7 linked regions of the Cricetulus griseus genome follow. The protein of the gene in region 1 interacts with the protein of each later gene in a pairwise test. Links are inferred from orthologs where the notes say so. Each region holds a gene or a part of one and is shown in the gene's direction. Other genes may lie near its edges.

Region 1 (3,500 bases):
CAACCTGGTCATTCGCAAGCGGAAAGTGGGTGAGGGCTGCTCCCACACCAGCAGGGCTGTCCCTAGTCCCTCATGGTCCCCACAGACACCTGGCCAGAGGCTGCTACATGCTGTGCCGCCCTGGCCTTGTCCCCACCCAGCTCCATCTACACCTAGGATGTATGCATGAGAGCCTTCTCTCCTCTCATCATGCCTACCTGCTGCTACCCAGAGGAGGGAAGGGGAGTTCCTACCATTGTTCAGGCTGTGAGAGAGCCACAAGAGTGAAGGCAGCACCTTACTCTGCCTTGACTGAGACCTGCAGGGTGCCTTATGCAATGCCCCAGATCCCTCTGCTAGGAAGGGCCCAGAAACGAGGGCTGGGGGTCCACAGCTTGGCACCTCTACTCAGAGCAGTCATCCACTGTCCCACCTGGGCCCCAGAGCTTCTACATACCCAGACCTTGGCCTCAACTCTGTCTCTTCCATCTGTAGGTGTGCTACTGGACATCCTGCAGCGGACAGGCCACAAGGGCTATGTAGCCTTCCTTGAGAGTCTGGAACTCTATTACCCTCAATTATACAGGAAAGTCACGGGCAAGGAGCCAGCACGAGTCTTCTCCATGATCATTGGTGAGAGGCACAGAGTGGGTGGGTGCTGTGAGTGCAGTCAGGTGCCACCAGGTCCTGGCTTCTGTGATTACATCAGAATGAATGAGTCTAATACAAGCCCTGTGGTACATATCAGAGTAGTGGTACCAGTGACTACTCTCAGGTGCTCAGGGTCAGGGCTCCCTTCTCTGCCTTTCCTACTCCCATCCTAAGAACATCCACTAAGAAGAGGTGACCCCTCTATAAAGTATTAATTCCATGGGGCCCAGTTACCACCTAAGGACAGAATCCCACAGTTTCTAGAGGGGACAGAGGTGAACTGATGGAATAGCCACATCCCTATCAGTCCACATCCCTATCATTCATCTCATAAAGATCTTTATAAAGGTAGACAGAGGGCCAGGCATGCTGGCACACACCTTTAATCCCAGGGAGAAGCAGGCAGATCTCTGAGTTAGAGGCCACCCTGGACTACATAGTGAGACCTTTTCTCAGGGAAAAGAGAGAGAAAAAGAGAGAGAGAGAGAGAGAGAGAGAGAGAGGGCCAGCTGGAGTCCTGGCATGTGATAAGTTAGAATCTCAGTCAGTTCATATGTGAGGGGCAGCAAGGCAGACTGGGCCTGGTGAACAGTCCCCAGGGAGCCTTCCCACCAGCTTTCTCTCTGTGGAAGACCAGTAGTGCTCCCTCTGCCCCTCAAACTGCTGGTCTTCAAGCACATACTTCTGGACAAGGACAAGCACAGGGTCTGCAGGTGACAGCCACAGGCTCCATCTGACACTGCATGGTCCCCAGATGCATCAGGGGAGTCAGGCCTGACGCAGCTGCTGATGACAGAGGTCATGAAGCTGCAGAAGAAGGTTCAGGACCTGACGGCACTTCTGAGCTCCAAGGACGACTTCATCAAGGAGCTTCGGGTAAAGGACAGCCTCCTGCGCAAGCACCAGGAGCGTGTGCAGCGGCTCAAGGAAGAGTGTGAGCTGAGCAGCCGAGAGCTGAAGCGCTGCAAGGATGAGAACTATGACCTGGCCATGCGCCTAGCACATCTGAGTGAAGAGAAGGGCTCAGCGCTCATGCGGAACCGGGACCTGCAGCTCGAGGTGATCGCTTGTCCCACCAGCAGGGGGGTGGGGGTGGGGGTGTCTGGAGGAGGCTGCTGCTGACTGGACCACCCACAGGTGGACCGGCTCAGGCACAGCCTCATGAAGGCAGAGGATGATTGCAAGGTGGAGCGAAAACACACCCTGAAGCTCAGGCATGCTATGGAGCAGCGGCCCAGCCAGGAGCTGATGTGGGAGCTGCAGCAGGAAAAGGACTTGCTGCAGGCCCGGGTGCAGGAGCTGGAGGTCTCTGTACAGGTAGGGCTACCAGCAGTGCACACCAGGGGCACACCAGATGGTACAACTGCAATGGCCAGGCTTGTTGCCCTTTGCCACCTCCAGGAGGGCAAGCTAGACAGGAACAGCCCCTACATTCAAGTGCTGCAGGAGGACTGGCGCCAGGCACTGCAGGAGCACCAAGAGCAGGCCAACACCATCTTCTCCCTACGCAAGGACCTCCGCCAAGCTGAGGCCCTCCGGACCCGGGTGAGAGGGCAGGGCAGGCAAGCAGTACCCACTGGGTATCTGGAAGGCAGGGTCTGGAATGTAACTCACTGTCTCCCCTTCACCAATTCCTGGTGCACAGTGGTGTCATGTCCACAGCTAGGGTCATCCTTTCAGTTTACCGTGTGATCGGTGGTGGCTGAGGCCATGGTCTCAGACCAGGCAAGCCTGCTGTGGCCTGGGACTGCAGTGCCCTTCCCATCATCCCGGCTAGCCCGATCTTGAGTGCTCTGAAGGTGTTGCCTGAGTCCAGCCCAGGGCCAGGTGAGCAGTGGAGAGTGGGTGAGGCTGAGTGGTGCTTCCTGTAGTGCGTGGAGGAAAGGGAGATGTTCGAGCTGCAGTGCCTGGCCTTGCGTAAGGATGCCAAGATGTACAAGGACCGGATCGAGGCTATCCTGCAGCAGATGGAGGAAGTCTCCATTGAGCGGGACCAGGTAGGTGTTGCATTTGTGTTCAGAAGATGAGAATGAGAGGAGTGTTTGGGTGCCGGTGTAGAGGCTTTTGAAGCTGTGGTCAACTCATTACTTTATCTATCTATCTATCTATCTATCTATCTATCTATCTATCTATCTATCTATCTACCTACCTACCTATCTATTTATGCCTGAGGTAACTTGGCAATGTTGAAAGATAGAACCTGGAGCCTCTTGTACAAAGACAGGAACATCTGCCTCTCTCACAGGAAGGGCCAGTGTAGCAGGGGAGTCCCAGTGGCGCCTGTGCTGGTTAGGGGAAGGTCAGGGTTGGAAACTTCAATAGAGGAGAGGAAGTTGCTAGCTACACAGGTGGGAGGTGGAGGCCACAGTATTGGGTAGAAGAGCTGGTGGTAACCCCCTGGAATAGGCAGCAGTAGTAGTAGTGGTAGCTCATACCTGTACTCCCAGCATTTGGAGGTTGAAACAAAATAACTACTGTGAATTCAAGGCCAGCCTGGATTACACAGTGAGTTCCAAGCCAGTTTGGGCTACAATGGTAGACCCGGTCTCAAAAAACCAAAAACAACAAAAAGTAGTAGCAACTGAGCCAACTTTGGTGGCACATGCCTGTAATTCCAGGCTTTGGAGGTAGAGTCAGGAGGATCAAAAATTCAAGGCCATCCTCAGATACATAGTAAATTTTAGGCCAGTTTGGGAAATGAATGAAACTGTCTCCCAGGAAACAAAAGAAGAAGCATGGTATTCATTTTAAGAACAGCCATCAATCATGTTCTTTGTTTGTTTTTTGTTTTTTTGAGACAGTGTTTCTCTGTGTCATCTTGGCTGTCCTGGAACTCACTTTGTAGACCAGGCTGGCCTCCAACTCACAGA
Region 2 (3,500 bases), about 81 Mb from region 1:
AGTAGAACCTGAAGTGGTAGGAGAAAGTGATTCAGAAGTAGAAGGAGATGCCTGGCGCATGGAACGAGAAGATAGCAGCGAAGAAGAAGAGGAAGAAATTGATGATGAGGTAAAAGGAATAATATGGAATTCTTTCCCCCAGGATACAAGAAAAAAATTGAGAACAGTGCTGATTTGTTGAGGCTATAAATGTACAAAATTTGCTACTTCTGTCTGAACTCTGATTGTGATTCCTGTTTGTTGGGGTTGAAACTGAAAATGAGGCCAGGCAGTGGTGGCACACACCTTTAACCCCCAGTACTAATGAGGCAGAGGCAGGCAGATCTCTTTGACCATGATGAATAAGCCTTTCAAACAAATGTCCATTCAGAGACACTTTTCTGTGAATTCGAGACCAGCCTGGTCTATAAGAGCTAGTTCCAGGACAGCCTCCAAAGCCACAGAGAAACCTTGTCTCGAAAAAGCAAATAAATAAATTAATTAATTAAGTAAGTAAGTAAAAATAAAGACTGAAGATGAAATCATGCTGAATTATGCTTAACCGTGTCAAAATTTCTTGAACCTGTTGAAGACAAAATCAAAGCTATGCTGAGGGCTCAGTAGTAGGACTAGACTTGCTATGCACAAAGCCCTGAATTTGGTCATTATCACCAAGAAAACAAGCTTGACGCACAGGCCATTTGAATAACTGGCTAAGCTGTATGCCTTGATATAGGAAATAGAGCGGCGCCGTGGCATGATGCGTCAGCGAGCACAGGAGAGGAAAAATGAAGAGATGGAAGTCATGGAATTAGAAGATGAAGGGCGCTCTGGGGAGGAGTCGGAGTCAGAGTCTGAATATGAGGAGTACACAGACAGTGAAGATGAAATGGAGCCTCGACTTAAGCCTGTCTTCATTAGAAAGTAAGTGTCTGCCACACCTGCTAAGCCAGGCTGTGTTCCCAGCCACTCAGTAGACTGAGGTAAGAGGATTGCTAGTTCAAGGCCACTCTGAGCTACAAAATTAGCTAATTCTCACAAAGGAGACTAGGGATATTGGTCAGTGATAAATGCTTGCTTAGTATGCACAAGGGCCTAGGTTCAATCCCCAGCAGAGGAAAAGGGAACAATTAGTCAAACCAGGACAGAATCAGGCTGGAGATATGGCTCAGAGGTTAAGTGCACTGGCTGCTCTTCCAGAGGTCCTGAGTTCAATTCCCAGCAACCACAAGGTGGTTTACAACCATCTGTAATGAGATCCGATGCCCTCCTCTGGCCTGCAGGGATACATGCAGGCAGAACACTGTATACATAATAAATAATAAATTTTTTAAAAAAGGACAGAATCCACATGATTAAGTTCCAGTCTGACAATAAAAGGTTCTGAATCCCACTTTTTCCTGTAAAGGAAGTCTTCTTTCCAGTGCCCTATCCCTATAGCAAAAGTGCTGAGAAGAAGCCAGATGTTTGCAGATCTGCAACAAAAGGTGTTGTTTTTAACCAAGTCTCTATCGTTCTATTTTATCAGTAAAGACTTGGGAGCCAGATGCTGGAGTGAAAACCCACTTGCTCAGAGAGGCAGAGAAAGCACCCAGCTGCTTCCTTCTCTGTTTTTCCCCTATCCTGTCTGAAACAAAAATTCCTCCAACTGGATGTCCCTCCCTTCTACTTCTTGTGCCTTTCTCTCCAACCTCCCAACTTTCCCTCACTCTCTATGGTTACTTCCAGTCAACTAGTTGCTTGTTCTTGACCTATGGTTGATTTTATTTAAATAACACAATCTCATGGTTCATGGTGTGATCACATAATCCTGAAACATAAAGGTAATCCGGGTGTGTCTATGTTTGTGTTTTGAGATGCTCTGGCTATGCTGCCTGATTCACTGTGAGGCCTAGACTGTCTCAGACTTGTGATCCTCTTGCCTCAGAATCTTAAGTGCTGGGCTTACAAAATCAATTTTTGTTGAGGTTTTGTTTTTGATTTAGTGATACTAGAGATGAAGCCCATGCATATGCTAGGAAAGTGCTTTAACACATTGCCAGGGAAAATCATGTTTTAAACACAAAATTAAGCTTATAAAACAAATTTCTTTATTTCCTAATGCTTAGGAATCCTATTTTACAGTCAGCCCAATAGGATTCTTGTTAAATCCTATTGGAGTCAGTGATAAATGATTAAGGGAAGTTTGATGCTGTAAAGACCTGAGATGAAGCTAGCTTAATCTCCAGTTCCCATATGGTGAAGGAGAAAAGCAATTCCCAAAAGTCCTCTGAGCTTCACCATCATGTACACATACCATACATTCCTATACATAGTACACTCAAAATATTAATATGGAGAGATGGCTCAGAGATTAATAGTTCTGTTAGGCAGTGGTGGCGCACGCCTGTAATCCCAGCACTTGGGAGGCAGAGGCAGGTGGATCTCTATGAGTTTAAGGCCAGCCTGGTCTACAGAGTGAGTTCCAGGATAGCCATAGAAACTTTGTCTCGAAAAAAGAGAGATTAATAGTTCTTGCTGCTCTTCTAAAAGACCTGGGTTCAATATCCAAGAGCCATACAGTGACTCATAACTGTATGTGACTCCAATTTCATGGGTTTCAGAACCAGAAGAGGTTCTGGCCTCTATGGATATCAGGCAGATAACTCAGTATACAGACATGCATGTAGACAAGGCATCCAAACACATGTTTTTTGTGTTTTGGGTTTTTTTTTTTTTGTTTTTTTGGTTTTTTGGTTTTTTTTTGGGGGGGGACGTGGTTTCAAGACAGCTTCTGTGTGTAACAGTCCTTACTGTCCTGTAATTTGCTTTGTAGACCAGGCTGGCCTCAAACTCACTGAGATCCACCTGTCTCTGCCTCCTAAGTGCAGATTAAAGGTGTACATGAAATTTTTTAAAGTTTTTTTTTTTTTTTTTTGTATGGGAGAGGGTAATTGAGACAGGGTTTTCTCTATGTAGTCCTAGCTGTCCTGGAACATGTATCATAGACCAGGATAGCCTCATAGTTTTTTGTGGTTTTTTTTTTTTTTTTGGTTTTTCGAGACAGGGTTTCTCTGTGTAGCTTTGGAGTCTACTCTGGAGACCGGGCTGGCCTGGAACTCACAGAGATCCGCCTGCCTCTGCCTCCCAAGTGCTGGGATTAAAGGCGTGTGCCACCACTGCCCTGCTATTTTTTTTTTTGTAATAATGATAATAAAATAAAACAGCAGAAGATACGACTAAGTAGTAAAGCATTTGCCTCTTGTATCAAATCCAGGGTTCAAATCCTATTACCAGAAGAGGGAAAAAAAGTCATGCTGTATTTAGGGATAGAAATAAAGCTCAGGGGGCTGGAGAGATGGCTCAGAGGTTAAGAGCACTGGCTGCTCTTCCAGAGATCCTGAGTTCTATTCCCAGCAACCACATGGTGACACACAACCATTTGTAATTCTACCTGGTGTCCTCTTCTGGCCTGGGCAGAACACTGTATACATAATAAATAAATTAAAAAGAAAAAGAAATAACAGCTCAGTTGGTAGATT
Region 3 (2,153 bases), on another chromosome or scaffold:
CCCGACCGAGTTTCCCCAGGTAACACAAGCCCTGGCATCCCGAGTCTGGAGCTGGGATTCGAACTCTGGGGCTTGTGTTTGAGCCGAAGTCGCTTGAGCAGCTGAGCCCTGGTGGTTCCCATTCACCTTGATACTCAGTTTGTGAGAACAGGGTCGGCTGTGCAAGCAGGCTAAACTAGCCAGGGTGGGATCCTGGTCCAGTAACAGTCTGAGATGCCTGCAGCTGCTTTTTATTTATTTATTTATTTATTTATTTTCTTCCTTTTATTTGTTTTTGGTTTTGTTGTTGTTTTGGTTTGGTTTGGTTTTTAGAAACAGGGTTTCTCTGTGTATCCCTGGCTGGCCTCAAACTCACAGAGATCTGCTTGCCTCTGCCTCTGAATGCAGGGATTTTTATTTTTTAGATAGGGTAGAACTCATGGTTATCCTCCTGTTTCACACTCCCATGTTCTAAAATGTTTTTGTTTCTGTTTTTTTGCTTGTTTGTTTTCTGGATTTAAGAAGAAATATTTCTTACTGCTTTTATGGGGGGGGGGCATGCCACAATGCAGTGTGAAGTTCAGAGAACAGCTTTGGGGGTCCTCTCTTCCCTTCCTCCTCATGGGTTTCCAGGCCTGGTGGCCTCAGGGCCTGTGTTAGGGAGCCAAAGACCCTTTGACAATGCTGACTCCTTACCACCACTTCAAAGAAGAAGAAGCAACTGGGGCCCAGAGGTAGAGCAGCTGGCTTAGAATCACAGCATGAGATACCACTAGGGAACACATCAGGGCTCGCTGTGAAGAAGGTTCCTGACACCAGGACCCTTTGGGGGCCTGTCCCGCTCTGTCACCCTTAGCCCTGGGCTGCCTCAGTCTAACTAACATCTGTCTCTGTGTGGAGAATTCCCAGGTTTGAGTCTTTGGTTACTGCAGGCTGTGTGACCTTAAACTGCTCACTCACCCTGTCTGGTGCTCACTGAGTCACATGTTAAGATGGAGGGTGAGTTCTGCAGGCCTCATCAGTTGCTCACAAAGGCACCTCTGCCTCAGAGGTTGTTACATCATTGAGAATGCTGTCATAATTTCACCGTGGGGGACATTGAGGCAACCCTGCCTACCTGCCCAGGATTGCAGAAAGCCCAGGGGTGTCCTTAAATGCAGCCATTTGTGGTGTCTGGCCACTCTCAGTCAGCATCTCTAGGCTGGCCACCTACCAAGCAGGAGGCTGAGGTCAGAGGATCAGGAGTTCAGGGTCATCCTTAGTTCCTCAGTGAGTAGAAAGCTAGCCTGGACTACATAAGACCCTGTCTCAAAAACACAAACCAAAAAGGTTTTAGCTTGACCCACCAGAAGGCGGGCCAGGGGGCCTCAGCTTCCCTTGTGTGTCCTCAGCCTGAAGCTGGAGTGCGACAAGCTGGCCAGTGAGAAATCAGAGATGCAGCGGCATTACGTCATGGTAAAGTTCCCCTGGGGACCCGGGGCTGGGGTGGGTGACCCCAGACTCCCCACAGCCAAGGGTGGCCTGGCTGCCAGCCCAGGTAGTGGCCTAGGTGCCAAACCACTGGCTCGCATCCTGGGCCTGCCAGGACCCTGCTGTCCTTGGCTGCAGGAGGAGGAGGCGGCTATGGAAGCCAGCCACATTCAGCCAGCCATCCGGAAGGAAGCAAGGGGGAAGCCACCTCCAGTCCTCCTCCCTCCAGGCCATCCGGCTAGGCATTCCTTAACCCTTCCATGACCAGAGCCCTCCCAACCGTCACAGGACCTGTAATTCCATGCAGGGGAGGTTGTTGGGGGTCTTAGGGCATTCTGGCAGGGGTCTTGAAGAACAAATAGTAGCTCACTGGATGGGGGTGCACAGGAATGCTGGGATACGCAGAGAGAGTCAGGCCAGCCAGAAGGCCACACCTCTTTGATCCATGACACACCTTCTCTCCACCCACAGTACTACGAGATGTCTTATGGATTGAACATTGAGATGCATAAACAGGTGAGCCTCAGTTTCCCTCCTCCAACACCTCGCGCCCTGTGACTCATTACGGAAAATTAAGGCCACTCCTGTTAGCCCCAGAGGTATTCCCACATATGCCTTAGCCCTTTTTGGTGGGCCACAGTGGCCCACAGGCATGGCCTTAGCCCCTGTCCCCATCCCCTCCAAGTGTCCCCCCAGGTACTGAG
Region 4 (3,931 bases), on another chromosome or scaffold:
GGGAGGCAGAGGCAAGTGGATCTCTGCAATTTGGAGGCCATCCTGATTTACAGAGTGAGTTCTAGGATAGCCAGGGCAACACAGAAAACCCTATCTCAAAAAACAAAAAACAAAAAAAAAAAACAAAAAACAAAAACAGATGGAGAAAGTGAGACCAAATTGCAAGGCCATAATGAATTACGAGCAGCCATGTAGCTGGAAGCCAGGTCTCACAAACATCAGAACAATTCTTACTCTGCAACAGGCAGCCCTGGGGAAGGACCACATGGTACCCAGAGATCTGCCCTAAAGTACCTCCAAATGAACAAAACAAAACACCCAGGATACAACAGGCCTTGAGAGGCCTTGAGGTCCTTACTGTATGTTCATCTTGGGAAAACAGCCATGCCCATTTTCTCTGTTACCCTGGGCAAGCCAGTGTCTTCTGGGTTTCTGTTTCCTCATTTTTTTGTGATGAGGGATTTGTCAAGGTTCATGTTGCTTTGTAATAGCCAACGCACTTTGACATTCTTTTTTTCTGCATCTGTTTATCCATCGCTTAGTCATTATTCATCCTGTGTCAGGGACAGAACTAAAATCTAGGAAGTCAGACTTAAGTAAGTCAAGGCCCCGACTCTTGTAGAACCTGCTGATCAAACAGTGACAAATCCTGATATGTTACTGATACTAGAGGGCAAATGTGCAGAGCTATGTAAACGCCCAATCCAGAGGACCACTGTGTTGGGGATTTCCCTCTACAGCAGTTTCCCTAGGTCATGCAAGGACTAATCGCTTGGTGATTCAAGTGATACCTTGAGTGGTGAGGAAAGCTGATGTGACTTGATGGATGAGCAAAGGCCAGTCAGACCAAGATTAGAGAAAAGGCCAGAGGCTGTGACAGCTCCAAGGCACTGAAAGTCTACCTGTGGTTTGCAAAGCTGAGGTTTGGAGTAGGTTCTGATTGAGGGGAGGTGCGTGGTCACTATCTCTAGTCCTCAGAGGCTTGTTTTTATTTTTATTTTTTTATTTTTTCGAGACCTCTGGGTTTTTTTGTTTGTTTTGTTTTGTTTGTTTTTTCTGTGTAGCCCTGGCTGTCCCTGAATAATCTCTGTAGAGCAGGCTAGCCTCGAACTCAGAGATCTGTCTGCCGCCTGCCTCTGCCTCCTGGGTACAGGGACTAAAGGCATGCACCACCACCTAGCCTCAAAGGCTTTTGTAAGTCATGTTGAGGGTTGGGACTGTAGTTCAAGACAGACATTAGTCTATGCATTTGAAATATCAGGAAACTGAGGCCCATAAAGGCTGAGGGACTTGCACAGGTTCCCATAATATACCCCAGACAGATTCGGGAATGGAATTTGGGTTTGGGCCCCATTCTTAGGGTTGGCTGGCTGGTGGGAAGGAGTCAATCACTTGAATGTCTTCTTCAGCTAAGGTGCTAGTGCACTGTGTGGTGGGTGTGAGCCGCTCTGCCACCCTGGTCTTGGCTTACCTCATGCTGCACCAGCAGCTATCCTTGCAGCAGGCAGTGATCACTGTGAAGGAGCGCCGATGGATATTCCCCAATCGTGGCTTCCTCCGCCAGCTCTGCCGGCTGGACCAGCAACTTCGGGGTGCAGGCCAGAGCTAAGGAGCCAGGTAAGGAAGGGCAAGGAGACAAAGCTGAATGTGGCTGGCAGTGAGAAATCAGCTGAGGGCCTGGACAATGGAGCCTGAGATGAAGCTGGTTGGCAGGGCTGTGTGTGGCTGAAAGTGAGGACTCACTCCCTTTCCCAAGCTGGTGGGTTCCCCTTACCCATCCAGTACCTGGCAAGCCATCCTCTCACCTGTATTCTTTTCCCCCACCCCTCAATTTTTTTTTAAAGATTTTATTTATTTATTATGCATACAACATTCTGCTTCCATGTATATCTGCACACCAGAAGAGGGCACCAGATCTCATAACGGATGATTGTGAGCCAGACAGCAGCAGAGCCAGCTGTCACACACTTCCTCTGAAATGCACTGGTGTTAGTAACCTGTGTAGGCAGCAAGCTCACTGCCTGCTCTTTCTCCTCTAGACAGGAATGGGAAACAAGGCAGAGCAGCAGATTTTGCATCATGTCCAACCACTCCACTTCCTTAGCCTGGAGTCTCAGACACCCTGGCCTCTGACCTCAGCATCTTGCCCATCAGACAGCTGGTCTGGGGGAAGTTGGTTGAGCAGGGCTGCACCATTGCCCAATTTGTGGAAATGACATCTACAAAGTTGTCTGTGTGTGTCATGAGAGCCTCCAGAGATTTGCAGCACACAGACTGTACAACTGTCCCGAGCAACTCCACAGCTGAGGCCCTGGGGTGAGATGGCTGTGCAAAGAGACCATCTCCCTCTGTTAGCCCTTGATGTCAAACCTACTCTCATCATTTCTCCTGGTACCTGTATCCACTTGATCTTGAAGCAGGCTAGGTAATAGCTCTAGCTCCTGTCCTGACATGTCGCAGCCAGCCTAGACCTTTGTTTATCTGTAACATGAAGGTTTTCTCTTCTCCAGAGCCAGTCCTTACTCTCAGCCACCAGGCTCTGCCAGTTTGCTACTCTGGCCCTGGCCCTGATGGCAGCCTTAGTACAGGTGGATGCACCGAAGAGGAAAAGGGCCCGGTGTGGGGCTCACCTACAAGCCTGCTGCTTCATCAACTTCCTCCAGCCTTCCGCACACCCTCTCAGCCGCTGTCTTCAGTCTCCACAGGTGGGAGTGCGCTGTCTGTCAGCTGAGGTCATGTGACAGCTTTCCCCAGGTTCCCTGATGGGGCTAGTGAGGATGACTCTCAATGATCTCCCCATCTCTCCTTGATGCTCAAGGAGAGCTCAGTGGCTGAGTCTTAGCTCCTGTGTGTGTGTGTGTGTGTGTGTGTGTGTGTGTGTGTGTGTGTGTGTGTGTGTGTGTTAGTATTATTATGGTATGGGTGTGTATGGCTAGAGCATCTGGATTAAAAGGAAAGGTTTTTAAAAATAATTATTTAACTTTATTTTATGTGCATTGGTGTGAAGGTGTCAGATCCACTGGAACTGGAGTTACAAATAGTTGTGAGCTGCCATGTGGGTGCTGGGAATTGAACCTGGGCCCTCTGGAAGAACAAACAGTGCTCTTAACCACTGAGCATCTCTCCAGCCCCCAAAGGAGTGGTTTTTAATGTCAAATCTAGTGAACCCTCACTAGGCATACCCCTTGGGCATCCCTGTCTTTGAGGGAGGGAGAGGGCAGTGAAGAGGAGAGCTGCTCCTAGATAAAACCCCTGACCACACACACCTGCTCTGTAATCCCCTTACACCTTTGTCTGTCTGTGATACCTCGACTGAATCTGCCAGATCTTACTTCTGAGCTAGTCACACCCAAATAGAGGCTTCTAGGACTATACACTGATGTTTGCCTGGCACCAGTATGCATGTGCCTTGAGTTATTTCATCTCTGTCCTCCGGCATACAGCCTTTTGACTCGTGACTTCTACCCTTGCTCTGACTAACCTTTGGAAGCCAAAGGAGTTTGGGGGAGGGAGGAGACTGTTTGTCTGTCTGTCTGTTTTGTGCATCGATGGGATGGAACTCAGGGCTTCAACCATACTAGCTAAGTGCGTTAGCACTGAGCAACACCTCTCAGCCCTGAAGGGAGGTGTGTTTTGTTTTGTTTTGTTTTGTTTTGTTTTATGTATATTTTGTTTTGTTTTTTAGAAAGGGTCTCACTCTGTAGTCCTGGCTGGCCTAGAACATTCTGCAGACCAGGCTGTCCTTGAACTCACAGAGCTCTTCTTGCCTCTGCCTCCTGACTGCTGGGATTAAAGGCATGTGCCACAACCACCCAGATCTAAAGGAAAATTTTAAGATTGTTTGCTTGATATTTTTTCTTTTCCCTGCCCAGCTAGCCAAATACACTCATGCTACACATCACAGACAAACCCTCAGAGCTTCCAGTATGCC
Region 5 (3,500 bases), on another chromosome or scaffold:
CCCTGTATCCTTAAGTAATGTCATGTACAGATACTGTGTTCCCTCTGTGAGTACATCCCTGTATCCTTAAGTAACACCATATACAGATACAGTGTTCCCTCTGTGAGTACATCCCTGTATCCTTAAGTACTAGAGGGTATGTCTCTCCTTCCCTCTGGCCAGGGAAAAAGTAAGGTTAGCATTGGAGAAGCTTGACAAACCCCAGGTTATTCGAAGGGCCCTGACCTGTGTTCCAGGTCAGCTTCAGTCAGACCCTCATGTGTCTCATGTGTGATAGGGTTTTAAACATGTGGTAGAGATTGATTATGTTTGTGCTTACATTTGTAGCCATGGACGTTTTAAATTATGTGGGTCGAGCTGATGGAAAACGAGGCTCGTGGAGGACTGATAAGACAGAAGCCAGGTACAGACGTGTAGCCTGCAATGTGGCCTGGGTTTGCTGTGGCCATGTGTTCTCACACGAGTGGTTTCTCCCCCAGGAATGAAGATGAAATGTACAAACTTCTGCTGAATGACTATGAGTGCCGCCAGAAGCAGATCCTAACGGAGAACGCTGAGCTGAAGAAGGTCCTGCAGCAGATGAAGAAGGAGATGATTTCTCTTCTCTCGCCCCAGAAGAAGAAACCCAGGGAAAGAGCAGAGGACGGCACAGGCACTGCTGTAAGTGTTCCTCTCCAGCCTCAGCCCAGCGGCTAACCCACGCCATGCAAACCCCGGTTCTCCCTGAGGGCTCTGCTCTGCCGTCTGTAGTCACGACAGCTGAAAACTGCCCTGCACATCTCCAGGCACATCCTGGAAGGCATCTGGAGATGACCATCTGGTGCTTCATGAGCATCATCTTGTTCATATTTCTCCTGGAGGAGATGATTCAGTGTTATAAGGCTTAAAATGTTACAATAATCTGACTATACTTTAATTTTACCCATCTTAGATGCTAGCACAGCGTACACAGCAGGAATCAGATTGGATTTGTGTCTGCACTCAGGCACCGTGCCGTATGTGATGGTCTTCACCCCTGTTGTCTCTTTGGAACTAAAGAAACATTCAGTCCACACCTTTATTGAAGCTTTATTGTTCTAAGTCCTGAAAAGACAAAGCTAAGGTTTTGACAGTTCCCTCAAGAAGCACTTTGGGAAGGGGTAGACAAGTAGAGATATGGTTACCACATGCGCAAAGTGTGGTGGCTGTTGGCTGCTCAGTCAAAGAAGACATCACAAAGAGGGTGGCTGTGGAGTGGCTTCTTCCACAATGAGTAGATGCTCTCATGGAGAAAACGGAGGAGTGCCTTCTTGACTCAAGTGCCTGATGTAGGAATCCAAGTTCACAGTGGTGAAAATTGGAAGATGGCAGTTTGATAGAAGGTCTGTCAACTGCCAGCCAGGCCACCAAAGTACATTTTGTAAGCCTGTGTTCAAGGATTATTTATTTTGTGGGCTCTTAAATTGGCCATCTGAGAAGTCCATTTAAATATCCTTAATACACAGGACACAATCCTTTGTGACCCAAAGTGGATGCCAGGAACTGTAGATAGTTCCAGAACAAATCGTAGGTGTCATGCTCTTCCTGTGTATATACCTTTGAGAAAGTCTGATTTCTAAGCCAGTACAATAAGATTAGAGTCAGCAACTAATATTACAGCAATGTATGGTATTGGATGTTAACATACGGTCTTCCTCCTCAGAGTTCTCCTTTAGAACAGGGTACCACTCTGTTCCTCTACAGCTTCTGACTTAACACCTCTGTAAACTTTGGCTTTGCTCTCAAAGTCTGTTACTTTGAGCCAGTTGTGAGCTTTGACCAACATAGGTTATATCACTTTTGAGGTCTCTTCGGGGTTGGCCAGTACTTTACTAGTCATCAGAAATGGGAAGGAAACCAGGAGTGCCTTCCTGCTTCTTCAGGTGGGGTGATGTCCCTGGTGATGACATCCCTGGTGATGACATCCCCAGTGGTTCCTCACAATTCAAAGCTAAAGGAAGTCCAAAGCATTTTTCCTATTGTTAAAAGATTATTTTTCTACTTCTTTTTCTCAAGATTTAGGTAATATTACCATTCTTTCAGTGAAAATCTTAGGACAGAATAGCAAGAATAATTAGACTCTTGGTGCTAGGTATCTTTTGGATTTCACTTGTATTTGGCTTGTATCATAGCCAAAATATGGGTTTGGTTTTGTTTAGGTTTTTCAAGATGGGATTTCTTTGTGTTACCCTGGCTGTCCTGGACCCTACCAGGCTGGCCTCGAACTCACAGAGATCCGCCTGCCTCTGCCTCCTGAGTGCTGGGATTAAAGGCGTGTACCATTACCTCCTGGCTTGTTTGGTTTTGGTTTTGTTTGTTTGTTTTTATAAGTCTTTTGATTGTAGATTTTTATTCAATCTGGGAAACAGGTAGTAATTTTTTTTATTATTTGTTGTTTTGAAACTGGATTTTGCTTGCATAGTCTAGGCTAGCCCAGAACTTAAAAATCTCTCTGCTTTCACCTTCCTGGTACTGGGATTTCAGGCATGTGCAGTCACTCCTGGCTATTAAGGTTTTTGAAATTTTAAAATATACTTTATTGGGGGTGTGGTATGGAGATCAGAGGACAACTTGTGGAAGTCAGTGTCGTCTTCCACCATTGCATCAGATGGGTCCCAGGTGTTGAACTCAGGTCATCCAGGTTGGTGGCAGGTGCCTTTACCATCTCCTGACCTGATCAGTGTTAACAGCAGGTTTGGTTTGTTTTTCTTTGTTTTTTGTTTGTTTGTTTGTTTGTTTTGAGACAGGGTTTCTCTGTGGCTTTGGAGGCTGTCCTGGAACTAGCTCTTGTAGACCAGGCTGGTCTCGAACTCACAGAGATCCACCTGCCTCCCGAGTGCTGGGACTAAAGGTGTGTGCCACCACCGCCAGGTTTGTAATCAGGGTGTAGCACCTGATTAAATCCCTCCTGCTCCACAAGCTGCAGCTTTAAGTATAGCATGATGCTGCAGCTGGGAAATTCTAAATTGGATCTCCCAAGACAGCGCAGCGGGAATCAAGCCACACAAAAATATTTCATAAGTAAATTACTTTCAGATTGTGCATACAAGGTACATTTGAAATAGAGTTCATGTTTAGGCTTATATCATACTTCTAACACATACACATAAGCAGACAGACAGAAGAGACAGATACTGTAAAATCCCAAAGTATCTTAAATCCCAAGTGCTCAGGCCCCAAGTGTCTGGTGAGGGATGCTTAGTCTGTAGTCTAAGAGACTTTGAAATGGGTTACAGGCCCATAGCTCCTGGAGACCAATGATGGCAAGAACAGTCACTGAGCCATCTGCTAAGCCTTAATCACCCGCTCCGCTTAGCTGGATCTGCTACCCCAGTGCTGATGTCACAGTGTCTGCTTAGACCTGACCTCTGCTACCCCAGTGCTGACGTCACAGCGTCTGCTTAGACCTGACCTCTGCTACCCCAGTGCTGACGTCACAGCGTCTGCTTAGACCTGACCTCTGCTACCCCAGTGCTGACGTC
Region 6 (3,500 bases), on another chromosome or scaffold:
TCCTTCACCTGTATTTTCTCGCTTTACTTATGCTTACAGATATGTAGCAAAATATTTAGTCTGGGCTGCTTTGCTTATTTACTCTTTTTTTTATTTTTGAAACATGATCTTTACTATATATAGTCCAGGATGGGTCTTAGAACTTACCATATTCCCTTATGACCTCAACTTTCAGCAGTCCTCCTGCCTCAGCTTCACAAGCACTGAGGTTACAAGCATGAGCCAGCATGCCCATTTTTTTCTCTCTCCTTTTGAGACAGAGTCTCATAGAGCCCAGATTGGCCTCAAACTTGCAGTGTGACCAAGGATAGCCTTGAACTCCTACCTACCCCCCACCCCCACCTCCACCTCCCAGACGCTAGAACTTCTGTTGTACAAAGCCATGCTTGTTTGAGCTGGGCCTTTTGTTGTTTAAGATCAAGTCTCTCCGTGTAGCCCTGGCTGTCCTGGAACTTGCTCTGTAGACCAGGCTGGCCTCAAACTCACAGAAATTCGTCTACCTCTGCCTCCTGAATGCTGGGAATAAAGGCATCCACCACCATGCCCAACCAGGTGGGCCTTCTTAATGAAAATTAAAGTTTAATTTTAAGAATAGGTTAACATGAGCTACAAGTTTTAAGATACAAGTTTTTAGTTCCTTTTTTTTTTTTTTTTTTTTAATCAATCTAGTTTCAAGGTTCATCTCTCCTGTGAACTTGCTTTTTTTTGAAACTGTAAGCTGATCATTTACCTAATCCGGTTGGTTAGCTATCTGTGCATCTCCTGTGTGCCAGGCCTATCTAAGATCTGACACCCAGAGAGGTGGTGGTACAACATGACACTCCAGTGCCTCAGAAACAGGAGCAGCTGGTCATGCTCAGTTGCTGGTGGGAGGCAGGAAAGCATTTTTCAACAAGAATGTCATCCATAAGTTCAATTTTGTTTCCAAACCATGCTGGAGATCAAACCCTGAATGCATGTTCAACAGGCTCTCACTGAGGCTGGTCTTGAACTCCATATCCTTCCAGTCTTGGCCTCCATTAGCATGCACTTGCATGCCCAACTCAGTTCAAACTTGGTAGAGGAATAGGAATAGCAGATATAGGAAGCAAGGAGTAGTCTTCGAGACAGAAGCAACTGTGTGTACCAGGCACGGTGGGAAAGGACTCTAAGAACGGTGGCTAGGGGAGGGAAGGGGGGAGCAGCAGGCTAGTCCTGACTGATTGTCAGTTCAGACTTAGAGCAAAGAGGAATGCTTCAGGTAGGAGTGACGTGGTCAGACACATTCAAGATGGTGACTCTGGGATAAGTAGAAGTGAGGCATGGGGAGCAGCTGGCGCCTCAGCTCCCTTCTCTGGAAAGTGAGTTGCTTAGATAAGTCATATCCTCTCTCAGCTCTATTCTAAATACAAACGATAATTTTCATGATCCTTATACAGCTACTCTCTTATACAGCTGGTTATCCGTTCATCTTAGAAAATCTGTAATTACTTTAATCCTACTATTTGGCTGTATAAAATTGAAAGTGTGCCCTAATTTTTCTTCTTCTTCTTCTTCTTCTTCTTCTTCTTCTTCTTCTTCTTCTTCTTCTTCTTCTTCTTCTTCTTCTTCCTTAGTTCTGTATCGGAACAGAACTGCCCTCACCCTGGCTTAGTGACATCGTATTCAGAGCCTGACATAGGCCAGTCGCCCTCCCTGTCCACTACTTCTGACGAGGAGCTGCCCAGCCTGGAGAGAGAGGCCCCCGGGGAAAGCAGAATGACAGCCTACGCCAAGGAGCTCATCAACAACATGTGGACTGACTTTTCTGTAGAAGATTATATGCAGTATGACTCTGACGTCCAAACATCTAAGAAAACAAGGAAGAAACAAAAACCCTGGGTGCCCAGAGTGACGGTGCCTGTGCCCTTTCAGATGACAGTTAGAGAGCAGAAGAAGAGAGAGGCTGCCCAGAAAGCAAGGCCAGATCCCCAGAGTCGACAGAAACTGCTCAAGAGGGATGACGATGACGATGTGGAGTGTAAGAAGAAATTCCGAGCCAATCCTGCCCCCTCCTGCATACTGCAACCATTTTATGAGGATATGGTCAGGCAGAATGAAGAGCGGAGGAGGACCTCCAAGGAGAAGAGCAAAGCCGCGCTCCTGGCCTCCCAGAAGCCATTTAAGTTCATTGCCAGGGAGGAAGAGAAGCAAGCAATCCGTGAAAAGCAGCTGAGAGACCTTTTTAAGTCTAAAAGGAAGACGAAGTGGTTTAAAGCCAGACCTGTGCCTCGTTCAATTTACAGGTCAGCTGCAAATGACAAGTCAAAAGATGACGAGTTCTATAGGGACATCAGGACGCAGCTGAAGGCCCGAGAACTGCTGCAGAATTCGTCCTGGCCTTGTAGGCAGGGCCAGGGACATTTCAGGGTCCCCCGAAGTCCTGGAAAGCCAAGGGGTAGACACAAGTGCAAGTGCCTGTGCCCTGATGATGGAAATTTTGCTGAGAAACAATGGAAGGAGTCCTCCTCAGAACCCAGTTTTCAGAAACACTCAACTCTTTGTAAACAGTGTGGTCTTCATGAATACTCTTGTGACTCTGCTAAAAGACAGAAGGTCTTGGCAGACCTTAGAGCAGATGAAGAAAATCTAAAAGAAATACTCTGGCCTCATCCATCTCCAAGGCTTAAGTCACCAGTAAGAAGTGCATGCACAAAGCCCAGGCCTTGCCGGTGCAGCCCTCCGATGCCTACCCTGTCTTCCCGAGGGCGGGAACAAGCCATCAGGTAAGCCCTGGGTGTGCGCTGTCTGACATGTGGTCACTGTGCTGGCATATACAGCCCTGGGGGGTTTTAGCTTGGTAAATCTGAAATTGCTGACTTCTCTGTAAGGTATTGTACAATACGGTAGGATATCATTTGCTAGGAATGCTCTCCTAAGAAACGAATGTGATTTCTGTGTTTCCTGGGCATAGACAAGTTTATACCATCAGTGTCTCTTGGATTTCCAATGACATGAGTCAGATTTTGGTCAAAAGGTTGCCTTTTTTTCTCAGCCTCTGAGTTATCCCAGGTTAAACCTTTGCTGGACAACTTTCTCCTTGGCTTAAAGGGAATTAAGCCTTAGTTTGTTGCCCTCAGGAAATCACTTGAGGAAAAGAAAATGTTGGAAGAAGAGAGAAATCGGATCCTAACTAAACAGAAGCAAAGAATGAAAGAATTGCAGAAACTCGTGGCAACCCGGGTTAAGGCTTATGACTCACATCAGGGCTTAGCCCAGATGTCTAAATCCAGAGTAAACCAGCTCAGGTATCTCGGGAGAGTCCTGAACGAAAACGTTGACTTCCAAACTCAGCCTCTTCTCTTCCCTCCCCTCCCCTCCCCTCTCTTCCCCTCCTCTCCTCTCCCCTTCCCTTCCCTTCCCTTTCCTTGCTTTTCCTTCCTTCCTTTTTAGCCAGTGAATACCTAGATATGAAAATGGTGTGGCAGCTTTATGTATTTATGTATTTAAATAATTTTTGTTTTTACTCAACTTTTCATACA
Region 7 (4,296 bases), on another chromosome or scaffold:
ATAGTGGCACACTCAGAATGTGGGTAAACGACAGGACCCACAGTAAAGTCCCTAGGCTAGTGGCTGTGTCAAACCCAGCCTATCCCCAGCTCTCCAAAATCCACCAGTGGCAAGTTGTGTAGTTCTTTTCCAGGAGGAGACTGTAAACTGGGGGAACTGAACAGTCCTAGCAGAGAGAACTGGAGAGTGTTCAGTGTGGTGTCTGCTTACAACAGACAAGCGGTGAGAAACAGAAAGGGTGAAAAGAGCACCTCAGACAGAAAAAGACAATGTTTGTCCGGAAGGATTAGAGGGGGCTGTCGATTGGCTCCTAAAGAGTTAAACTGGGAGCACATTTCATTTGACATTGCTTCAGATTATCACTGACCTAGGAAAACTTTCGGTGAGCTAATGGTTAGGAAATTGAGCGAGCTGGACTAGTAAAGAGAGGTGGGAGGAGGGTCTGAAAAAGGAGGAAAGAGACACAAGTTGGAGCAGCACTTGTGTGATGCCAGGGCATCAGAAATTGAGTCCATCTCTGCTTCAAGCTTTCCATCCCTCACTCAACCAGGTACCTTTCTTTTCCGCACTTAGAACAGCTTTATGCTATCATTGGGGCACAGCCCTGAAACTTCCAACCTGGCATCAGTTTTATTTTATTTTATTTTATTTTATTTTATCTTTAACAACCTATCCTCAGACAACTGAAAGGGGAAAACCATGTTGCGCTCCCGGGCGCGGGAACTGCGAGTATCGGAGTTTGAAAAGCTAGACTGCTCTAGCCTTTTCCCTTCTCTTGAATTCTCATAAGTTCTCCTGGTCCGCAAGGTCAGGGAGCAGTTCCGGAGCTCCTGCAGGTGACTCCCACCCCTACCCCCACCAAGAGCTGAAAGAGACTCGGGACGGGACACTTGGTGCTGGCTTAGCGAGACTGAGAGTGGGTGCGCGCCTGGCCATTGGGAGCCTATGGGACAGATCGAGGTGGCCCTGCTTATTAAGGCTCTGGACTCTCCACTGGCTGTCGTGGAAGCTCCCAGGGCCGGGCGGGCGTGGAGCAGCCGCTCCTGTCCTGCCAGCAGTTGGGAACTGGAAATGAGAGAGCATGGTGGCGCTGAGTGAGCGGGAGTTTTGGAGAGAGTTTGCATGTGGTCAGCTCTGGGCTCCTAAGCCAGCCCCCAGCTCACATTACACTCTATTTATAACCTCTCTGAGCCATTTCCCCCCCGTGAAAGCAGTTCTCTGGGACCACCTTCTTTTGGCTTCCACCTCTCCCACATTTGACATCTGAGCAGCTGCGAGGGAAGCTCCTCCAGGTCCCAGTGTTTATATGTGCAGGAGACTGGCCGCTAAGGCTCTGGACTGGGATTAGCCAGCTCTGCTCAAAGGCGCGACTCTTAGGGAGTGTGTGAGTGTGGGGGGAAAAAAGAGTTCTAGGATTTCCAGTGAAAAGTCACAGAGCTTGGTGGCCTTTGGGACCATCGTGAAGTCTTCTGCCTGGAAGTCCAGACTTGCATGCCATGGAACACCCCCTCTTTGGCTGCCTGCGCAGCCCGCACGCCACAGCACAAGGCTTGCACCCTTTCTCGCAGTCTTCTCTGGCCCTCCATGGAAGATCTGACCACATGTCCTACCCCGAACTCTCCACATCTTCCTCGTCTTGCATAATCGCGGGATACCCCAACGAGGAGAGCATGTTTGCCAGCCAGCATCACAGGGGGCACCACCACCACCACCATCACCACCATCACCACCACCAGCAGCAGCAGCACCAGGCTCTGCAGAGCAACTGGCACCTCCCGCAGATGTCCTCCCCGCCTAGCGCGGCTCGGCACAGCCTGTGCCTGCAGCCCGACTCGGGAGGGCCTCCGGAGCTGGGGAACAGCCCTCCGGTCCTGTGTTCCAACTCATCCAGTCTGGGTTCCAGCACCCCGACCGGGGCCGCGTGCGCACCAGGGGACTATGGCCGCCAAGCGCTGTCACCCGCGGATGTAGAAAAGAGAAGTGGCAGCAAGAGGAAAAGCGACAGCTCAGGTGAGTGCGGGCAGAGCACCTCTAAGGAGAGTGTTCCCTGGGCTGGGAAGGGGCAGGGATTTGCGAGAAGGTTCTCACAGACAAACTAAGGAATACCTAGCTCTTCCAGTCTCAGTGGCCTGGCCGAATTCGTCCTTGCAGCTTCGGCCCTGTAATTTGGGAGCACGTGTTTCGCTGAGGTTAATATATCTACGTCCAGCCCCTTCAAAGCCCTACAAGACCATAAACTAGTTTTCCAGCGGCGGTGAAAAAAGAGCGAGTGACAGTATGCGAAATCGGTTAAGGAGCATGGCGCTCCATCCACGAGTTGGGAGGGGTGTGAGCCTTGGGATGTTGCATCGGCTGGGCGTTCATGCCTGTGTGCATGCATGCGCTTCTTGGTTTTTCCCTTACAATTTCCCAATTCTGAACAGCTCGAGTTTTCCCATCCTTAACTGGATTTCTAGACTATTGCTCAATATCTTGAACTTTAACTGGGATTTGACAAAATACTCGAAAGAAAAGTTTTATTTTTTTCTTTTTTTAACGTTTCGCTTTCAGAGTTCCGTAAATAGCATTCTACTTAAAATAGTAATAATTTTAAAAAGCATTTAACTTATTTGCCGAAAAAGGCACTATCTAGAAATCTAGAAGTATTCAAGAAATACATCTAAAAATCGTGAATAAATAAATGGATGAGGATTTGAAGAAAGGTCATTCTTGATTAGACTCAGGTGAGGCTATCCTATGGGAAAAAAACAAACAAAAACAAAACAAACAAAAAAATCCCTGAACTTCGAAAGTGGAAAGTAAAAGCCTTCCTTGTTTGAGTAGAGTTTTGAGATGCTCCGGAGAGCACAAGAGCAGCTCGGACAGTGGTGGGAGAAGATGCAGCAGAGTGAACAGCGAAAGTGTGGATTACTTGAGCAGCTAAAGCAAAGGTTTCTCCCCAGTGGTTTCCAGGGCCTGAAAGTTCAGTAGCAAGTGCATTGTGGCAGTTCAGAGAAACTGAGTTTCTAGACAGCACATAACGCCCTTAGCTATAGTTCTCATTATTAAGATGTTTCTCTTTTTCTTCTCCTTCTTCATCCCCTCCTCCTCCTCCTTTTTAATTGCATCTTGCTCTGAAGGAACATGGCAACCTGGGTACATACTTTGGAAGATGTCACTTAACTAAAAAAAAAAAAAGTTTGCATCTATTTAATCTTTTGTGTTAGTCTATGGAGATTTAGGAAATGTGAATCTGGGCATTGGAAATAATGGAAAAGAATGTAGCATGTTAGGCAATTTAGTCCAGGTGTTCTGCAGTGTATGGCAGTAACTGCTGTGTATTTTAAATCATGTTGAAAAATGACAGAAACTTTTCTTGGCCTCCTTGTGGGGTGACCCTTACCAACCTGATGGTTGAACTTTTATTTTCCTAGGTCGGGGATGACTTTTTAATGCTCCACAATGATTAGCTGTGTCTAAGCAATTTACCAGCACTGTCATTGATTTGCAGTGGTTATCTTTAACTACATAGGAAATTCTAAGCTATTGAAAAGATACCAGTGAAAACGTTAGAATGCACTGGGGTTCCCCAGGCTGGGCATTTATGAACTGGAGTGCTTGGATGGCCTCAGCAGGTTGGTAGCTACCACAGCAAGAGCCAGAAGCACTTTTTCTTTCTGCAAGGGGAAACCATGGCCAGCTTCTTAGCTGAATCAATGCCCTAAAGATTATTTATGCACTCGAAGGAGTTTTTGTTGGGCCACAGTTATTTTTAGTTGCAGAAATGGAGAGTAGGACTAAAAAATTTACATCCTTAAGTTATTTTCATAAAAACCGACTTAAAATTGACTAACAGTCGTTTCCATCACATTTACCGATGGAAAATAACCACACAGCAAAGGGAAGCTTGTTTTCATGTTGTGAATCTCATTTTAGAACATAGAAACAAGCAAACAGAATAGAAATTTGTGTCAACCGGGGGTGTAGTAACGCTTGACAAGAACGGGAAGTATGATCATTAGCAAGGATACTATCATGGGGACCAACGTAGAAAGAATGTTTCCATTGATAGGCCATCACAGGCAAGCATCAGTTGTCTTGGTACACTTTGAAAATAAAATCTATATGTTCAATCTCTGAGTTAACATCGATTAGATCATAGGTAAGTTTAACTCCAAGCCATCTATCGCCTTTTTCAGTGAACATTCAACTGAAGATCAAGTCATCTGATACTCTTGTGTAAACATTTTGACTTACTAGAGGATAAAGTAACATAGAAAATAGTTATAATACTGTTCTTTTATCAACGCATAAGCC

What was found.
Region 2: the proteins of Card9 (region 1) and Mfap1 interact in binary tests that used the Homo sapiens proteins (3 or more experiments, as listed by UniProt). The two-hybrid records come from large-scale screens. The link is inferred for Cricetulus griseus from reciprocal best matches to the Homo sapiens genes CARD9 and MFAP1.
Region 3: the proteins of Card9 (region 1) and Tle5 interact in binary tests that used the Homo sapiens proteins (3 or more experiments, as listed by UniProt). The two-hybrid records come from large-scale screens. The link is inferred for Cricetulus griseus from reciprocal best matches to the Homo sapiens genes CARD9 and TLE5.
Region 4: the proteins of Card9 (region 1) and dual specificity protein phosphatase 13 interact in binary tests that used the Homo sapiens proteins (3 or more experiments, as listed by UniProt). The two-hybrid records come from large-scale screens. The link is inferred for Cricetulus griseus from reciprocal best matches to the Homo sapiens genes CARD9 and DUSP13B.
Region 5: the proteins of Card9 (region 1) and Ssx2ip interact in binary tests that used the Homo sapiens proteins (3 or more experiments, as listed by UniProt). The two-hybrid records come from large-scale screens. The link is inferred for Cricetulus griseus from reciprocal best matches to the Homo sapiens genes CARD9 and SSX2IP.
Region 6: the proteins of Card9 (region 1) and Fam161a interact in binary tests that used the Homo sapiens proteins (3 or more experiments, as listed by UniProt). The two-hybrid records come from large-scale screens. The link is inferred for Cricetulus griseus from reciprocal best matches to the Homo sapiens genes CARD9 and FAM161A.
Region 7: the proteins of Card9 (region 1) and Meox2 interact in binary tests that used the Homo sapiens proteins (3 or more experiments, as listed by UniProt). The two-hybrid records come from large-scale screens. The link is inferred for Cricetulus griseus from reciprocal best matches to the Homo sapiens genes CARD9 and MEOX2.

Annotation. Positions count from the first base shown.
Region 1 is NC_048599.1:137,744,308-137,747,807, reverse strand, and holds part of Card9 (caspase recruitment domain-containing protein 9), read left to right. Parts: coding exon 1-29; intron 30-474; coding exon 475-612; intron 613-808; exon of another isoform or gene 809-1,384; coding exon 1,385-1,689; intron 1,690-1,767; coding exon 1,768-1,947; coding exon of another isoform or gene 1,948-2,031; coding exon 2,032-2,175; intron 2,176-2,501; coding exon 2,502-2,627; intron 2,628-3,500. UniProt on the Homo sapiens protein: Adapter protein that plays a key role in innate immune response against fungi by forming signaling complexes downstream of C-type lectin receptors.
Region 2 is NC_048599.1:56,944,767-56,948,266, forward strand, and holds part of Mfap1 (microfibrillar-associated protein 1), read left to right. Parts: coding exon 1-109; intron 110-715; coding exon 716-903; intron 904-3,500. UniProt on the Homo sapiens protein: Involved in pre-mRNA splicing as a component of the spliceosome.
Region 3 is NC_048598.1:102,312,835-102,314,987, forward strand, and holds part of Tle5 (TLE family member 5), read left to right. Parts: intron 1-1,370; coding exon 1,371-1,434; intron 1,435-1,920; coding exon 1,921-1,965; intron 1,966-2,153. UniProt on the Homo sapiens protein: Transcriptional corepressor. Acts as a dominant repressor towards other family members. Inhibits NF-kappa-B-regulated gene expression. May be required for the initiation and maintenance of the differentiated state.
Region 4 is NW_023276807.1:199,229,323-199,233,253, forward strand, and holds the start of dual specificity protein phosphatase 13, read left to right. Parts: upstream 1-1,131; 5' UTR 1,132-1,530; coding exon 1,531-1,617; intron 1,618-2,510; coding exon 2,511-2,705; intron 2,706-3,931. UniProt on the Homo sapiens protein: Dual specificity phosphatase that dephosphorylates MAPK8/JNK and MAPK14/p38, but not MAPK1/ERK2, in vitro. Exhibits intrinsic phosphatase activity towards both phospho-seryl/threonyl and -tyrosyl residues, with similar specific activities in vitro.
Region 5 is NW_023276806.1:12,740,447-12,743,946, reverse strand, and holds part of Ssx2ip (afadin- and alpha-actinin-binding protein), read left to right. Parts: intron 1-327; coding exon 328-403; intron 404-479; coding exon 480-660; intron 661-3,500. UniProt on the Homo sapiens protein: Belongs to an adhesion system, which plays a role in the organization of homotypic, interneuronal and heterotypic cell-cell adherens junctions (AJs).
Region 6 is NW_023276807.1:83,744,674-83,748,173, reverse strand, and holds part of Fam161a (protein FAM161A), read left to right. Parts: intron 1-1,595; coding exon 1,596-2,744; intron 2,745-3,098; coding exon 3,099-3,266; exon of another isoform or gene 3,267-3,500. UniProt on the Homo sapiens protein: Involved in ciliogenesis.
Region 7 is NC_048598.1:164,594,808-164,599,103, reverse strand, and holds the start of Meox2 (homeobox protein MOX-2), read left to right. Parts: upstream 1-1,496; coding exon 1,497-2,010; intron 2,011-4,296. UniProt on the Homo sapiens protein: Mesodermal transcription factor that plays a key role in somitogenesis and somitogenesis and limb muscle differentiation. Required during limb development for normal appendicular muscle formation and for the normal regulation of myogenic genes.